4 linked regions of the Ovis aries genome follow. The protein of the gene in region 1 interacts with the protein of each later gene in a pairwise test. Links are inferred from orthologs where the notes say so. Each region holds a gene or a part of one and is shown on either strand. Other genes may lie near its edges.

The links.
Region 2: the proteins of MTUS2 (region 1) and CDK5R1 interact in binary tests that used the Homo sapiens proteins (3 or more experiments, as listed by UniProt). The two-hybrid records come from large-scale screens. The link is inferred for Ovis aries from reciprocal best matches to the Homo sapiens genes MTUS2 and CDK5R1.
Region 3: the proteins of MTUS2 (region 1) and GTPBP10 interact in binary tests that used the Homo sapiens proteins (3 or more experiments, as listed by UniProt). The two-hybrid records come from large-scale screens. The link is inferred for Ovis aries from reciprocal best matches to the Homo sapiens genes MTUS2 and GTPBP10.
Region 4: the proteins of MTUS2 (region 1) and TAF13 interact in binary tests that used the Homo sapiens proteins (3 or more experiments, as listed by UniProt). The two-hybrid records come from large-scale screens. The link is inferred for Ovis aries from reciprocal best matches to the Homo sapiens genes MTUS2 and TAF13.

The regions. Positions count from the first base shown.
Region 1 is NC_056063.1:31,296,061-31,299,571, reverse strand, and holds part of MTUS2 (microtubule-associated tumor suppressor candidate 2), read left to right. Parts: intron 1-1,939; coding exon 1,940-2,037; intron 2,038-3,166; coding exon 3,167-3,380; 3' UTR 3,381-3,511. UniProt on the Homo sapiens protein: Binds microtubules. Together with MAPRE1 may target the microtubule depolymerase KIF2C to the plus-end of microtubules. May regulate the dynamics of microtubules at their growing distal tip.
Region 2 is NC_056064.1:17,453,832-17,457,998, reverse strand, and holds the start of CDK5R1 (cyclin-dependent kinase 5 activator 1), read left to right. Parts: upstream 1-1,359; intron 1,360-1,378; 5' UTR 1,379-1,514; coding exon 1,515-2,438; 3' UTR 2,439-4,167. Other genes in the region: proline-rich protein 2-like, read right to left, coding at 568-1,359. UniProt on the Homo sapiens protein: p35 is a neuron specific activator of CDK5. The complex p35/CDK5 is required for neurite outgrowth and cortical lamination. Involved in dendritic spine morphogenesis by mediating the EFNA1-EPHA4 signaling. Activator of TPKII.
Region 3 is NC_056057.1:76,144,358-76,148,558, forward strand, and holds the start of GTPBP10 (GTP-binding protein 10), read left to right. Parts: upstream 1-1,393; 5' UTR 1,394-1,459; coding exon 1,460-1,492; exon of another isoform or gene 1,493-2,509; intron 2,510-4,201. UniProt on the Homo sapiens protein: May be involved in the ribosome maturation process. Complements an ObgE(CgtA) function in E.coli ribosome maturation. Plays a role of GTPase in vitro. When missing, disorganization of the nucleolar architecture is observed.
Region 4 is NC_056054.1:86,377,827-86,381,926, reverse strand, and holds the start of TAF13 (transcription initiation factor TFIID subunit 13), read left to right. Parts: upstream 1-1,292; 5' UTR 1,293-1,336; coding exon 1,337-1,363; intron 1,364-2,158; coding exon 2,159-2,237; intron 2,238-4,100. UniProt on the Homo sapiens protein: The TFIID basal transcription factor complex plays a major role in the initiation of RNA polymerase II (Pol II)-dependent transcription.

The DNA of each region.
Region 1 (3,511 bases):
ACTAAGGTCCGTCTAGTCAAGGCTATGGTTTTTCCTGTGGTCATGTATGGATGTGAGAGTTCGACTGTGAAGAAGGCTGAGCACCGAAGAACTGATGCTTTTGAAGTGTGGTGTTGGAGAAGACTCTTGAGAGTCCCTTGGACTGCAAGGAGATCCAACCAATCCATTCTGAAGGAGATCCACCCTGGGATTTCTTTGGAAGGAATGATGCTAAAGCTGAAACTCCAGTACTTTGGCCACCTCATGTGAAGAGTTGACCCATTGGAAAAGACTCTGATGCTGGGAGGGATTGGGGGCAGGATGAGAAGGGGATGACAGAGGATGAGATGGCTGGATGGCATCACTGACTCGATGGCCGTGAGTCTGAGTGACCTCCAGGAGTTGGTGATGGACAGGGAGGCCTGGAGTGCTGCGATTCATGGGGTTGCAAAGAGTCGGACACTCAGTCGGACACGACACGACTGAGTGACTGAACTGAACTGAGGCACTCTGTGGGCATGCAAGAGTTCTCATTCCAGAAACCGTTCCAGGCAGGGGTGGGGGTGGGGGGCGGGAGAGTTGATTGCATCACTTCCCATTTCCTAGGAGGGCTTCCTTGGTGGTCAGATGGTAAAGAATCTCCCTGCAATACAGGACACCCACATTACATCCCCTGGATCAGGAAAGATCCCCTGGAGAATTAAATGGCAACCCACTCCAGTATTCTTCCCTGGGGAATTCCATGGATAGAGGAGCCTGGCAGGCTGTGGTTCATAGGTTCGCGAAGAGTTGGACACAACTGAAGCAACCTAGCACCACATGCATAGTGAATTACATCTACACAATTTATGTGCGTGCCTATATTGGATTCCTGTGTAGAATACACTTCTCATAGTGAGTGTCTCCATGCCCCTGCCATTGTCAGAGATGAGCCATGAGCACCCGCCAGGTCCAGTTTGGCTGGTGGATCCCCTGGTTCTCCCTGTCGGGTCCTCCGCCCTGCACTGGCACCTCTGGCAGTACCTGTATGTACAACATGACATTCTGAATTAATGGAGGGATGAAAATATCAATAATGTGGACACACTTTCCCTCCTGAGGCTCTCGGCAGCCAGGAACGTGCAGCTCAAGCCAGCTCTGCACAAGAACAGAAAATAACATCCTCCTCCATGGTGGTTATTCCTTTGAGACTTAATGCCCGCTCTCTGTCCGTGTGTCCCCACGGCCTGAGACCTAGCTGAAGTCGAGCTCCATTCTAAGATGAACTGAGAAACTCTTTTTTGAAAAGACTATGAAGAACTCCTGCGTAGGGTAGTTAAGGAAAACCACCACCCCTCTGTGCATTGGGCTGAGGTATCAGAGTGGAAGGACTGGGCTTTAGCCAGCTCTTCAGCAAGGCTCCCACGCCCACCTCATCTTTGTTCCCAGGAAATGCATGCATGCTAAGTTGCTTCAGTTGTGTTCAAGTCTTTGCGACCCCATGGACTGTGTAGCCCGCCAGGCTCCTCTGTCCATAGGTTTCTCCAAGCAAGAATACTGGAGTGGCTTGCCATGTCCTTCTCCAGATCTTCCGGACCCAGGGATCGAACCCGGGTCTCCTACACTGCAGGCAGGTTCTTTACCATTAGCACCACCTGGGAAGCCCCATAATTCATAATATATACCGATATATACACACAGACATATTATATACCTACATATATATAAGAAAGATATACGTATATATATATAAAACAGTACTTTTACAGTGCACTCTGGTATTTTTTATTCTGTTTTCTTTTGTTTAAAAAAGCAATGCTGGTCATGTCCCTCTAGCCTGGTTTTATAGCCAATGCATTGCAAATTGCAGTTTGAAAAACACTGTTTTAGATAATCCTTCAAAGCCCGGAAGCCAAGGGCACTGGTCTGTCGTCTCCCCCAGGGCCTGGCTGCGGAGCTCTTGACACTCCATCTTTTATAGGCAGAAAAGAACATCATCCTGGAAGAGAAGATCCAAGTTCTCCAGCAGCAGAACGAAGACCTCAAGGCCAGGATCGACCAGAACACCGTGGTCACAAGGTAGGTGGGCCTGGGTGATGGAGCCTCAGAAGCGCGTGTCCCAGACAGAATGGCTTTGCTCCTGACCTTGGAGGGCTCTGCTTTTGTCCTTGCTCCTCCGAGCCCCAAGGCTTCCCCACGCAGGCTCTCGGCGCTCCCCACGTGGAAGAAAGCATAGAACACACTGCTCTGAGCACCCAGCCAATGCCCTGGCTGCACGGAGCACCCTCCTTGGTGGAAAGGAGTTGGGTGGGATAAAGTGTGTGGCACAGCTGGCAGGGGCAGGGGCAGGAGTGGTGGGGATCGTGGAGGAGGTTTTGGAAGGGCTGCCCGCTGGGAGTTCCAGGCTAAAGAAAACAACCATGTGAGCCAGCCGACCCTGGGCTCCAGCAGTGCCCAGCTGCTGCCCCGGCACTCGGCCAATGGCAGAGGGGAGCTGCCCCAGCTGGAGGGCAGCAGGGAGGGACCGGACCATGCAGCCACTTCCATCTCCGTGCTCCTAACCTGCTCCGAGGCTCCGACTTCCAGGAAGGGAGGAGCAGCAACCCGGCTGCAGTGACGACAGAGGCACAAAACACATCGGGTTCCTTTCTACTTGGCGTGCATCAGCCGCAGACACCCATGGAGCATCTGTTACGGGCCGGGCCCCAGGCTGGGTGCCGAGCACTGGAGAAGGGACCGCTCTGGCCCCATCCTAGGGCTCTAGCTCCAGCAGGCGACCAGATGCACTGCCCAGAAGGTTGCAGTGCAAGCTGACTGCTGCCAGGGAGGCCCAGGGTGAGGGCAGGCTGCAGAGGCCGTCGGCACCACTGACTCCCCGGGGCCGTCCTTATGGCTCAGTGTCCCCCACACCACCTGCAGCTTTTGCTCTGTCCACTGGCCACCAGCGCCTCCCCTGACCCAGGGCAGAGGGACTGTAGGCGAAATCAGGTGTTGGCAGAGAGACTCTGGGAGAGGATTGTGTGGGTGGGACAGGTGGTGATTGTGTTTCAACCCCTGGGCTTGATCCCTGAGGTCCACAGGAACCCACCACACACCCCGTTCCCTGTGCGCCCCTGGGCCCGGCCGACCTCGGGCTCAGCGTCTTCTCTGCCATTGCTACTCTAACTGTTGCTTGTCCCCTCCCCCCCCCCACCCCACCCCCATGCAGACAGCTGTCGGAGGAGAACGCGAACCTCCAGGAATATGTGGAGAAAGAAACGCAGGAGAAGAAGAGGCTGAGCCGGACCAATGAAGAGCTGCTATGGAAGCTCCAAACCGGGGACCCGACCAGCCCCATTAAACTGTCCCCCACATCCCCTGTGTACCGCAGCTCCTCCTCCGGGCCCTCCTCTCCCGCCAGAGTCAGCATGACGCCCAGATGACGCCACCACGCTGCGGGCTGAGCTGCGGCGCCGGGTCCACGAGGGTTCCCACCGGTGGGGAGTGGTGACCGCCGCGTGCCGGCCCGCCTGGCCCCGCGCGCATGCCCAGTCGCTTCGTCGCGGCCTTTCAT
Region 2 (4,167 bases), on another chromosome or scaffold:
AATTCTGAGGTCACATTCAGGATGGGCTCAGTATTCGTCTGTCTCTGGGGCAGTGACGGAGCCAGGAGCCTCAGGGCCCTGTCCAGGTGTGGTGTGGGATGGCAAGTAGCTCCGTGGGACGGCCCGGAGCAGCCTACGCCTCTGGCCTGTATTTCTGAGACTTACCTGGGCGCTGGGCATTGACCCGGATGGGACAACAGAGGTCTCGGAGGGAAAAGCACTCTGAACTCATGGGACAGTCCCCTCCGGATGCGCGTGGCACTGAGGCCTCCCCCCTCCCCGCCCTTGCTCCTTGAGTCCCCTAGCTTCTGTCCCCGGGATCTCGGGCATTAAATGGAAGGAGGCTACTCGGGTCCCGGCCTCCGTGGACTGTTTCTCAGGCGGCCGGCACGCGGACGCGGCCGAGGTCGCCCCCGCCGCCGGCAGCTGCGGACGGCGCGGCGGGAACAAAGGCAGCACGTGTCTGGGCGGGGCGGCGGGCGGGGTCGCTCCCCGGCCCCGCCCCAGCCCTCCCCTCCCGGCGCTCCCCACCCGCCCGAGCTCAGCTGCGCGGTGCGCTCCCGAGTCTCACGCGGCCGGGCTGCTGCTGGCGCGGCAGCGCCGAGCGGGCGGTGAGCAGTGCGAGGAGGGGGCGGCCCCGCGGGGCGGGGCGGGGAGGTGCCGTGAGTCCTCGCCGCCAGAGTCCGGGTCCTGGATGGGGCGCGGCGAGTAGAGAGGCGCCCGGGGCTCGCGGCCGCGTCGCTGCCCGCACCGCGCGCCGCTCGTGCTGAGCACGGCGGCGGCCCCGGCTCCCGGGTGAGACCAGGCCCGGCCGGCGCGTGGGCCGCGCGCGCGCGCCCGAGAGGGAGGCCGCTGAGGTGCGCGCCGGGGCGGGCGCGGGCGCGGCGGCGGCGGCGGCGGCGGCGAAGGCGGCCGAGCGGGGGGCGGGGCCGCAGCGTCTGCAGAACCTTGGACAGAAGCTCCCGAGCCGCCGCCGCCGCGCGCGAGCCCCGCCGAGCCCCGGGACCGCGGCGCTGAGCCGCGGCGCGCATTGCGGAAGGTGCGGAGCGCCGGAGCCACCTGCTCGGTAAGCCTGCGCCTCGGGCCGCCCGCTGCCCCCAGGAGACCGGGGCCGCGGCCGCGCGCGGTGTCGAGGCGGGGTCCCCGGCCGCCTCCGCCGGCGCCCGGGCCCCCGCGCTGCCATCCGGACCGCGGCGGGAGCGGGTGCCGGTGCCGCAGTGGAGAGGCCGGGGTTGCGGCGCGGGGACGCGGGCGGGGCCGTGTCAACCGGGGAAGGCCCCGGGCGCGGGGTTGGGGCCGCGGCCGCCGAGGCCGGGGCGGAGGAGCGCGGCGCGAGCCCCGCCTGATGCTGAGAACCATCTTGTTTTTCCCCTCACAGATCCGGAGGGGCGGCACGCGACCTCGGGAGCGCCCCCGCCTCCCCCTGGCCGCCGCGGGCTCGGTGAGCTTCTTCCCTCCAGCCGGCAGGCTGGGCGCGCAGGGGCGCGGGTCCCCGCCCGGCGCGCAGCGACACCATGGGCACGGTGCTGTCCCTGTCCCCCAGCTACCGGAAGGCCACGCTGTTTGAGGATGGCGCGGCCACGGTGGGCCACTACACGGCCGTGCAGAACAGCAAGAACGCCAAGGACAAGAACCTGAAGCGGCACTCCATCATCTCCGTGCTGCCGTGGAAGAGGATCGTGGCCGTGTCGGCCAAGAAGAAGAACTCTAAGAAGGTGCAGCCCAACAGCAGCTACCAGAACAACATCACGCACCTCAACAATGAGAACCTGAAGAAGTCGCTGTCGTGCGCCAACCTGTCCACGTTCGCCCAGCCCCCGCCGGCCCAGCCGCCCGCCCCCCCTGCCAGCCAGCTCTCGGGTTCGCAGACCGGGGTCTCCTCGTCCGTCAAGAAGGCCCCGCACCCCGCCGTCAGCTCCGCAGGGACGCCCAAACGGGTCATCGTCCAGGCGTCCACCAGCGAGCTGCTGCGCTGCCTGGGCGAGTTCCTCTGTCGCCGGTGCTACCGCCTGAAGCACCTGTCCCCCACGGACCCTGTGCTCTGGCTGCGCAGCGTGGACCGCTCGCTGCTGCTGCAGGGCTGGCAGGACCAGGGCTTCATCACGCCGGCCAACGTGGTCTTCCTGTACATGCTCTGCCGGGACGTCATCTCCTCCGAGGTGGGTTCCGACCACGAGCTCCAGGCAGTCCTGCTGACCTGCCTGTACCTCTCCTACTCCTACATGGGCAACGAGATCTCTTACCCGCTCAAGCCCTTCCTGGTGGAGAGCTGCAAGGAGGCCTTTTGGGACCGCTGCCTCTCCGTCATCAACCTCATGAGCTCCAAGATGCTGCAGATCAACGCCGACCCCCACTACTTCACGCAGGTGTTCTCAGACCTGAAGAACGAGAGCGGCCAGGAGGACAAGAAGCGGCTCCTCCTCGGGCTGGACCGGTGAGCCCGCCAGCCTGCATCATGGCTCAAGGATTCAATTCATTTTTAAAAATTTATTCTTAAATCAGATTTTGTGTACAGTATGTGTCTAGCAAAGCCACCAAGGGCCTCTCCCTTCCCACCTCCCCTCCTTGGGGTTTTCCTCTGCCCTGCCAAGAACCCTGGGCGCTTCTGAACTCCCAAACCTCGTGCAACATTCAGAAGATGTATTCAGAGCCGCCCTGGCCCCGACCTCTCACTCTGGGGAATTGAAAGGACTGACTGACCTCTGCCGCCTGCGCCCTTGCTGGACCAAGGCAGGGAAGGCGGCCCACAGCCAGGCAGCCCAGGGAGGAACTGGAGTTTCTGGTTGGAGGCCTTTTGCTGGCTCCTGTTCTGGGTCGTCTGTTCTCCCAGAGGCTCCTGGAGCTGGCCACCTGGACTGCACCGCACGCGGGCTTAGGAGGCCGAACGCCCGTGGCTCCAGGACAGCCTCTTCAATTGAGGGGAAGCCGGCCTGATGTGAAGATCATGTCCTCTAATTTGGCCATGCACGACCCTGGTTTGCTCTTTTTTCTTTTTTAGGGAGAAGGGCTTTCCTTTCGTGGAGACATGGAACCGCCCCCCACCCCCCAACCTCCCTTCCTTCATCCTCCACCCCCAGCCCTGTTGGTAGTGTTGGTTAATGAGCTGGTTTGACTAAGTTCTTTCATTTTGGGTCCCGGCTCCCAAGGGGTGGGGTGACGCCAGGGACAACTCCTTTCTTGGGTGAATTTTTCATTTGAATCATGCAGCTTAGTCACCCCGTGGCGAAGGCCAGGGCAGCTGCAGGTGCCCATTGTCAACAGCCTGCCTCCCGGGCAGGTGGGGCTGCCATGCCTGGGACTGAGCAAGTGCCCATGACATTTGCGCCTGTGGAGCTGCAGGGGTTGGGGCGGGGGCAGGGGCCAGGGTGATGTGGTAATGATGCACCCCTCCCCTCACCCCCTGTTGATTTAAAGCTGTTTCCAAACAGTTGAGTCTCTTCTGAAGACGAAGCCTTGTCCCAAAAGGCCCAGGGAGACAGCTGGATCTTGGAGACAATTATGAGCCGGGAGTCGAGCTCCTGACTGCCTGCTGATTCTCCCGCTGGTCATTTGCAGCTGCCGGTTTGGGTCTCCACCTTCAACCTCAGTGGCTGTAAAAAAAACCCATGGTGTGTCACTTAATTTTCTTTCTGATTCTCCCAGATCGGTGGCTGGGGGCTTGGGAGAGGACCCAGAGAAGGGAACCAGCCTTCCGCGATCCCTCTGGCTTTGGGGAACAAAGACTGATGTGAAGGCCTACAGAGAATTCTCTCTTCCAGTCTCAACCCCCCAAGGGGGGCTGGAAGGGGAGGCTGGGGGTGAGGGAGGCAGGGGGCCGTTTTACAGAGGATTAGCTTCCAGGTGGCTGCCGTTTCAGCACAAGCACTACTGAAATTCACATAAAAAAGAGAAAGCTGTGAAACAGGTCCCGATTTAATAGGCCCAGCGTCGAGCCTGTGGCCCTGTGGTGCTCGCGAGAGCGAGGGCCTGCCCCAAGCTGGGAGCACGGGCCTCAGCTGCGCCCCAAGGCCCATGCCGAGCCGCTCCCGGGACTGCCGGCCAGATTTACCTGCCGCAGGGCTGGAAGGAGCCCGCGGCTGCCGGCGGGGACCTCGCGTGCAGAGCCTCTTCCCCGCGGGAGTTGTCACACGGCCTGTCTGTGCGGATCCTGCTGCCGTGTGTGACCCG
Region 3 (4,201 bases), on another chromosome or scaffold:
CATGTTCCCATGTAAATGTTATGACAAAGAAAACAATCTGGGCTTGTGTTCACTAGGAAATAAACCTTAGAAAATAAACAGATTGGGCTCAACATAATTCTGACATTATAAGACCTAGTAAGGATAATAATCAAAAAGGACACAAACGTTATTGAGTAATCATCCAAGTAGTAACAACCTAGTTTCCTTTATTTTTTGGCTGTCCTGCTGGGCTTGTGGGATCTTATTTCCCCCTACCGGGATTGAACCCGGGTCTTCTGTAGTCAAAGCGTGCCGTTCCTCACCAGTGGACCCAGGGAATTCTCAGCCTAACATCCTGATTAATTAAATGACAATTATAGTTTTATTGATGGGGGAGTAGAGAGCGGTTCAGTAGTAGGAAAAGAATCAACACAGAGAGGGATAGTTTCTACATCGTGTCGTAAATTAGGGGTAGAAATGGGAGGATTGTCTTAAATTCAGAAAGATGATAAGGATGGGAGAATAATCCAGAGCCGCCCAGCAGGACTGTGTATGTCCATTCTCCGCGTGAGGGCAGAAGAGGGGGTGGCTGGGCGGACTGCGACCCCGCCGCTATGCGGGTCCTGCCCTGCCTGAGGCGCGCTTCAGACGAGTTGGATAATGATGACCCATAATATCTATTGGACCCCTAGAAGCTTGGAGGAGGAAATGGCAACCCACTCTAGTATTCTTGCCTGGAGAATTCCATGGACAGAGGAGACTGGCGGGCTACAGTCCATGGAGTCGAAAAGAGTCTGACAAGACTGAAGCACAGAACATACCTAGAAGCTACTAACAGTTGCAAGATTCCTTCCCCACAGAACGCAATGAAATTCTTATATAACTCAGATCCTGACTGTCGGGTCCCAAATCGTAAAATAGCTCCTGGAAGCTTTTGCTAGACATTACTCAGCTGGTCAGTGAATTAAAGTTTTTTGTCTGTTTGTTTTCCCCAGCTGAGTCTGAGTTTTTCACGCGTTAGTTTTTACCGTCCGTGGGAGTTTTTTTTCCCCCACTCTGCTTCGCCAAGAGTGAAGAGACTGAGGTAACTTGCGGTTTCCAAAGCATAAGAACTCCTCCAAGGCAGCCCAGGTTCTAGTGCCATCCTATTCAAAATATTCCTGAGACAACCACTTCGCACCCGACTGTCCCCTGTCACACTGCCTCTCGACCTTTCCTCAGCGTTTTATTCAGCCTGCCGCCAAGCGCCACTTTCCACCTCCGCACAGGGTAAGGGGGGGTGGGGGTGGGGACGGGGCACTGCATTGCGCATGCGCATGTTTTTCCGAGCGCGCCCCCCCGCGCGCATTACGGTATGAATGGCTGTCAGGCACGAGGGGGGCGGGGGGAAAGCGTGCGAACACAAAATAGCTGCGTTGGTCGGCGGTGACGTAAAAAGGCAGCGCCGTACTTATGTGAGTACAGCTTCCGCTGGAGGGAATACTCGCCCTTCGCAGGCATGGTGCGCTGCAGTTGCGTGTTGTTCAGAAAGGTCCGTGACTAGTACCCCCTCAGCCTGATGTGCGAGGCCAGGTGCCTCTAACCCCACCTGAGGGTGCAGGTTTTTCGCTTTCCTCCTTCCCCACGTGTTTCTTCCTGGGGGCCTCTTTCTTGCTTTTTTCCTTAGTCCTTTTCGCCTCTGGAGAACTCGGGTTTGGCCTGTAATAAGAAAGGCGTGATCACCGATCTTTGTTAGGAAGGTTGTTTGGAACAGGGTTTGAGATTTTTCAGGGGATAGTGTGCACGTGAGATGGAGGGCTGGGATACTTTCTTGCCATTTAGGCATGCGATATGGTATAGGTGGAGTGTAGGTTTGACGTTTGACTCAAATACATATTTTCCTTCTTATAAGTAGTAATATCCATAATTTGTTTTTACATATTTTTTCTTTGAATGCATTGTTATTAATAACTTTCTAAAGACGATTTTTATCGGTAAACGAAAATAGGTAACTGACTTGCCGTCTTGCGAGAAGTGCAGTGTGGGTTTCAGAATCGTTTTTGTAAACAGTTCGCAGTTGCTTTCAGATTTAAAAACCACTATAAGATCCTTACTAGCAATGTTTTTTGAAACCTACTGGCAACATAGTTTGATCATTATTACTAAGGACGAGATTGGGATATTCCTTTTAAGTTTGGGTTCTAAATCTTTGATAAATCTAGAGCAGTAAAAAATGTCACATATTGTAAGGAACTTTAAAAACAAGTTTTATTTTTGTCGGAGGAAAGGCGTGGTCAGTGAAGTTTTACTTTTTTCAGCTATTTTCCAGAAAATAGGTGGTCAGAAGGAGACTTGTGAAGCATAGTAATTGGGCATATAAGGTAACTAACTAATCCTTAAGCAAAAAAAAAAAAAAAAAGGATGACTACATTTTTTGCTGGTTATATTATTAAAGGCTACTTGTGTAACTACTGCCATAGCAGGCACTGCCAGTCCATGTTTTGCAAGGGAAATCTGCCTCTTCATTTACCTGTGATGCATTTCTGATCTAGTCCTACTGAACCAAAGAGTAAGTTCTTAAGCTCTCAGAGAAAAATGTTCTGGCTCGCTCTTAAGTTGTTTTTATATATTCCTTCCATCCTTACTCTACTGTTTCATGACTATATTTCCATACTCAAATGAAAACCTGTTCTTTGAAACTTTGCTGTGTAACTTTCACTGCGATCTCAAGTCTAGACTGAGATTTACCAGTATCACCAAAGGAGCTTTTGATAAATGTGCTGGTTTACCCTAGTCTCATCCCCTTCTCCAAAGTATATCAGAATGGTCAGTGAAGTGTATGTATTTTTGAAAAAAGTCCCCAGATGTTTTTGATACTTAAAACTATATACTAAATGACTAAAAGATGGGACAATTATGAATTTAAGAAGTTACTCTGTAAGGAATTTTGATAGTCCAGGTGGCTAAGACACAGGATCTGACCAGTAGGAAGTTCTTGATTTAGTGAGGGAAACAGAAGTAAACCCTAGATGCAGTGGAGGATTTCTAGAGGCCTAATGGCAACCTACTCCAGTATTCTTGCCTAGTGAATCCCATGGAGAGAGGAACCTGGTGGGCTGTATGACTGCACAGTGTGTATATATATATATGTGTATAATAATAGATATATAATTAAAATTAGTGCCCGACTAAGCCAGTGGTAAATATTAAGTTGAGAAATTAAGAAATACATCAGAAAATAGGACATTTGGATGGGTTTATGATAGAAAAGAAAAAATGACATTGTAAATAGATGAAACAGCATGAGCAGAATGTCATGGAGAAGTGACAGTACATTTTGTAGTATAAAGAAAAGAGGAGGCTATAGGAGGGGTTGAGTGAATGGAAATGAAACTGGAACGGTAGGTTAAGAGCTTTGACTGTAGCACGGAGAACTTTAGACTTCATTTTGTAAACAGAAAAGCATGAATGATTTCTGAGTAAGGGAGAAATATGTTTAGAGATCAGATCAATTTTCAGAAAAGTAGCTCTGGCCGTGAGACAGAATATGTGTTGAGGAAGGAATGACTGGATGCTGAAAGACCAGTTAGGAGCTAATGTGAATGGTCAAGATACTAGAGCATGTAGTTGTTCCATAAAGGAAAAATAGTAGAGCTTCAGGGAGACAGGTGTAAAGATTCCCATATGTAGCCTCAATGAGTAGAGAAGCTTTAGTTTTATTATTTGAGAAAACATTGGAGGAACAGAATTTACCTAGGGAAAAGTTTGATTTTCAGTCACATGAAAGGTGACTGTTATCCTTTCAATACCTAAGATATATATTTGAGGGATTTCAAGTATAAGATACAGATCTTGTTTCAGTTGCTTTAGACTATTAAGCTTACATCTGGTGGAGATGTCCAACTCATTGGAATAGAGAATATCTCACCTGGGTGATAGTTACTGAGAAAGTACAGGGGAGAAGGTATTGAAAAGTGGGCCAATGTCAGACCTTCTGGTTAGGGAGGACAACAATTGATAATGGAAAACATAGAGTTAATATGGGAAAGTGAGATCAGACAGGAGGTAGACTAAGCAAAAACAGTAAATGTGGCATACAGAAAAACCTTTTATATTTTTAGGAGTTTTAGTGGCATCAAAGAACTAGAAAGGAGTTCAAACTTGGTAAGCATTTATGGTATCAGTTCAGTTCAGTTCAGTCACATCCAACCTGTTGCAATGCTGTGGACTGCAGCACGCCAGGCCTCACTGTCCATCATCA
Region 4 (4,100 bases), on another chromosome or scaffold:
ATCAAGATTGCTAGGAGAAAATCACTAACCTCAGATATGCAGATGACACCACCCTTATGGCAGAAAGTGAAGAACTAAAGAGCCTCTTGATAAAAGTGAAAGAGGAGAGTGAAAAAGTTGGCTTAAAGCTCAACATTCAGAAAACTAAGATCATGGCATCCGGTCCCATCACTTCATGGCAAATAGATGTGGAAACAGTGGCTGACTTTGTTTTTGGGGGCCCCAAAATCACTGCAGATGGTGATTGCAGCCATGAAATTAAAAGACGCTTACTCCTTGGAAGGAAAGTTATGACCAACCTAGACAGCATATTAAAAAGCAGAGCCATAACTTTGTGAACAAAGGTTCGTCTAGTCAAAGCTATGGTTTTTCCAGTAGTCGTGTATGGATGTGAGAGTTGGACTATAAAGAAAGCTGAGCGCCAAAGAATTGATAATTTTGAACTGTGGTGTTGGAGAAGACTCTTGAGAGTCCCGTGGACTGTAAGGAGATCCAATCAGTCCATCCTTAGGGAGATCTGGCTGTTCATTGGAAGGACTGATGTTGAAGCTGAAACTCCAATACTTTGGCCCCCTGATGTGAAGGGCTGACTCATTTGGAAAGACCCTGATGCTGCGAAAGATTGAGGGCAGGAGAAGAGTACGACAGAGGATGAGATGGCTGGATGGCATCACCGACTCAGTGGACATGAGTTTGGGTAAACTCCGGGAGTTAGTGATGGACAGGGAGGCCTGGCGTGCTCTGGCTCATGGGGTCGCAAAGAGTCGGACACGACTGAGCGACTGAACTGAACTGGACTGCAGCCCGCCAGGCTCCTTTGTCCTTGGGATTTCCCAGGCAGGAATACTGTAGTGGTTTGCCATTTCCTTCTCCAAGGGATCTTCCCTACACAGAGATCGGACCCAGGTCTTCCACTGAAAGCAGATTCTTTACCATCTGAGTCACCAGGGAAGCCCTGGCAATAAATCATAGTGGAACTCTAAGTTGTTCAAATTGTTTAAATTCACCCCTGTCTAGCCCCTCAATGATCCAAAGCTTCACAGGACCGAATCAGGAAGCGGAGATCTGATACGCAGAAGAAAGCTCAAGGTGACAACGAGATACACGCCATCTAGCTCATCCCTTTTCTATGCTAATGTTTAATTCCTACTTTCCAAGACTTTATCCTTCGCTGTTCAGGTTTCACCGCTGGGCGGGAGGTGCTTGTTCCTCTTCCACAGGGGAGGTTCCGCTAGGCCCCGCCCCGGCCCCTCTCGTCACCGGAAATGAGGCAGCGGAAGTAGTAAAAAGCTCTCCGAGGAAGGCGGGCGCGCAGTGGAGGCGGCTGGCTGGTGGGATGGCAGATGAAGAAGAGGATCCCACCGTGAGTGACCGCCTCTGTTCCAACCTACTTTTTAATTTACTACCTCGAGCACAGTAGCGGAAGCATAGTGGAGAATTGGGTTTCTTTACCTCAGTGATTCTGCCGAGAGAATCGGGGACTTCTCCCCGGGCTAGCCTTTTTCTTCTGATTCATCCTTTTAGTAAGCGGGGCTGGAGGAGTAGGTGGCTCCCCGCCCTTTACCTTTGGTTCATATTTGCCAGATACCCTTTGAATCACCTAGAGAATCATCAGGGGGCAAAGCTAGTGTTTGTTAGGGCTCATTATGCAACAACAATTCAAGTGCTAAGAAAACTGTACACTTTACTGTAAAGTAGTGGAAAAATAATGGACTCAAGTCACTGAGCAAGTAATTGAGCCTCAGTTTTCATGTCATAAAATAGGCTTAAGGTTTACTTGAGGAAAGTTCTTAGCACTGTGTAGGAAATGCTTAACAAATACTAGTTTTGCTTGCTTTCATTCAATATCAACTCTTTTAATAGTAAAACTATCTAGAAATAGGCCAACTTAGTTTAAAAAAAGAATGTATGGTCGTTGGAACTCCCCCAGGAGAAGCAGTACGATGCCTAACGGGGCATTGTAGAAGCCACTCCTGCGTGAGTCTGAAGTTGGGCGAGATAGTTTTAATGCCCCCAAAATGCTAAAGTTTCATTGTTTTTTGCTGCTTGCTTTAGGCTTTCTGGCATGATACTGGTGTTGAAGATGTAAAAAAAAAAAAAGCTAATTATTAAAATGTCAGAAGCAGTGTTTGACATATCTATACGTTTTAACTTTCAGTTTGAGGAAGAAAATGAAGAAATTGGAGGAGGTGCAGAAGGTGGACAGGGTAAAAGAAAGAGACTTTTTTCTAAAGAATGTAAGTAGTACTTGAGAATGATTTTTTAATAGTTTCCTTGTAGGGACACTATTCTCAGACTTCCGTATAAATTCTGTTTAACCTGTGATTCATAGATAGTAATGATCCTAACCCCAATTTATATATTTAACCCCAATTTATATATTTATATATATGTGTGTATATATGGGCTCACACAGACATACGTTTTTAAATTTTTTAAGTAAATACATGTGATCAGTGTTTCAATTCAGGTCCCAAGTAAGAACGTACCTCCGTTACTTTACCTGTTCCTTACCTTTCATCAGTTGGAGCAGGGACTCCTTTGAATGTAAGCCGAAGGTTCTGTTGGACCCTGAACAGGTCTGAGGGTAGGAATTAAGTTGGGACTTTGAACTAAGGCAATGGACAAGGCAGGAAGATGGTGAACAATGTGAGGCAGTCCAGTGACATGGAGATCATAAAGTTTTGGGTCTATTCTCCTCCTTCAGTAGACGGGTTTGACCTTTTATGGCAGTGGCAAGAGGAGCTGATTCTATTACTGATGATTCAGGCCAGCCCCTGAAAGGCACCATGAGAACATGCTCTCCATCTTCCAGTCCTGGTCCTTTATACATAGTTATGGCTGAGTGTAGATCAGGCAACACATGGAACACTTGGTTTACTTATGCCAGTTCCGACATAAGCAGTTCCTAAATGCTCTTGAAACTACAGAGTCAAGTAGTTTGGTTTTTTAAGCCATTCAAATCCTTTCCTATATCTCAATTTCTCACCTAAAGTTGACTGCTCATTATTCCATTTCTGATGTTATTTACTCCATTCGTATATGGTTTTACGTCTTATGGAGACTTCCCTGTAGCTCAAACAGTGAAGAATCTGCCTGCGAGGCAAGAGACCAGGGTTCGATCCCTTGGTTGGGAAGTTCCTCTTGAGGAGGGAATGGCACTCCACTCCAGTATTCTTCCCTGGAGAATTCCATGGACAGAGAAGCCTGGCGGGCTACAGTCCTTGAGGTCGCAAAGAGTCGACACGACTGAGTGACTAACACAGTTACTTCTTAGGTAGGCATAAGAGGATTACTGCACCAGAGCATCGCATAGTGATGCTAGCATACTTCTTACCAGAGCCTTTGTTCCACTTGGATTTCTTTATTTTTATGATGACAAGAATTCGGAATCTTCACAGCTGTTTCTTTGTCTTACCTGAATTTTCATGTATCTTGACCAAGATCTGTTCTTCTAGACATTCTTTGTTTTAAAAATATTTTTTGCTAATATAACACAAGATTTCAAAGCATTCACTTCTCTATTTGTTTGTCTTTACAGACTCTTTAACCAAATACGGTTTACATACTTCCTATCTAATAAGTTTTTCCTTTTCCAGTGAAGTATGTTTCCCTACTGATGAATTCTCCCCATCACAATGTTAATGACAGTATTTTCCTCAAAATATTTAAGAGAAAATATTAAATTTATAGTGGAGAATCCAGTCCTGGCAGACATTACTTTAGTCAGGTGATCAAAGTTAGTATCACCAGTAATATATGTTGACATTAGGTACTCCTAATATGGTGCATTAAGGGGTCCATCATCACTCTGATTCCCTTCTAGTAATGCATAAGCACAACCTAATCATGAGGACACATCAGATAAACCGAAGCTGAAGGACACGCTACAAGATAACTGACCAGTATTCTTCAGAAGTGTCAAGGTTGTAAAAGACAAGGAAAGTTTGAGGAACTGTTACAGAACAGAGGAAACTAAGGAGACACGACAACTAGTGTGGGATCCTGGAACAGAAAAAGTACAGTAGTGGGAAAACTGGTGCAATCTGAGAAGTGCTGTACTTGTACCAGTGTTAGTTTCTTAGTTTTGATAAATGTCT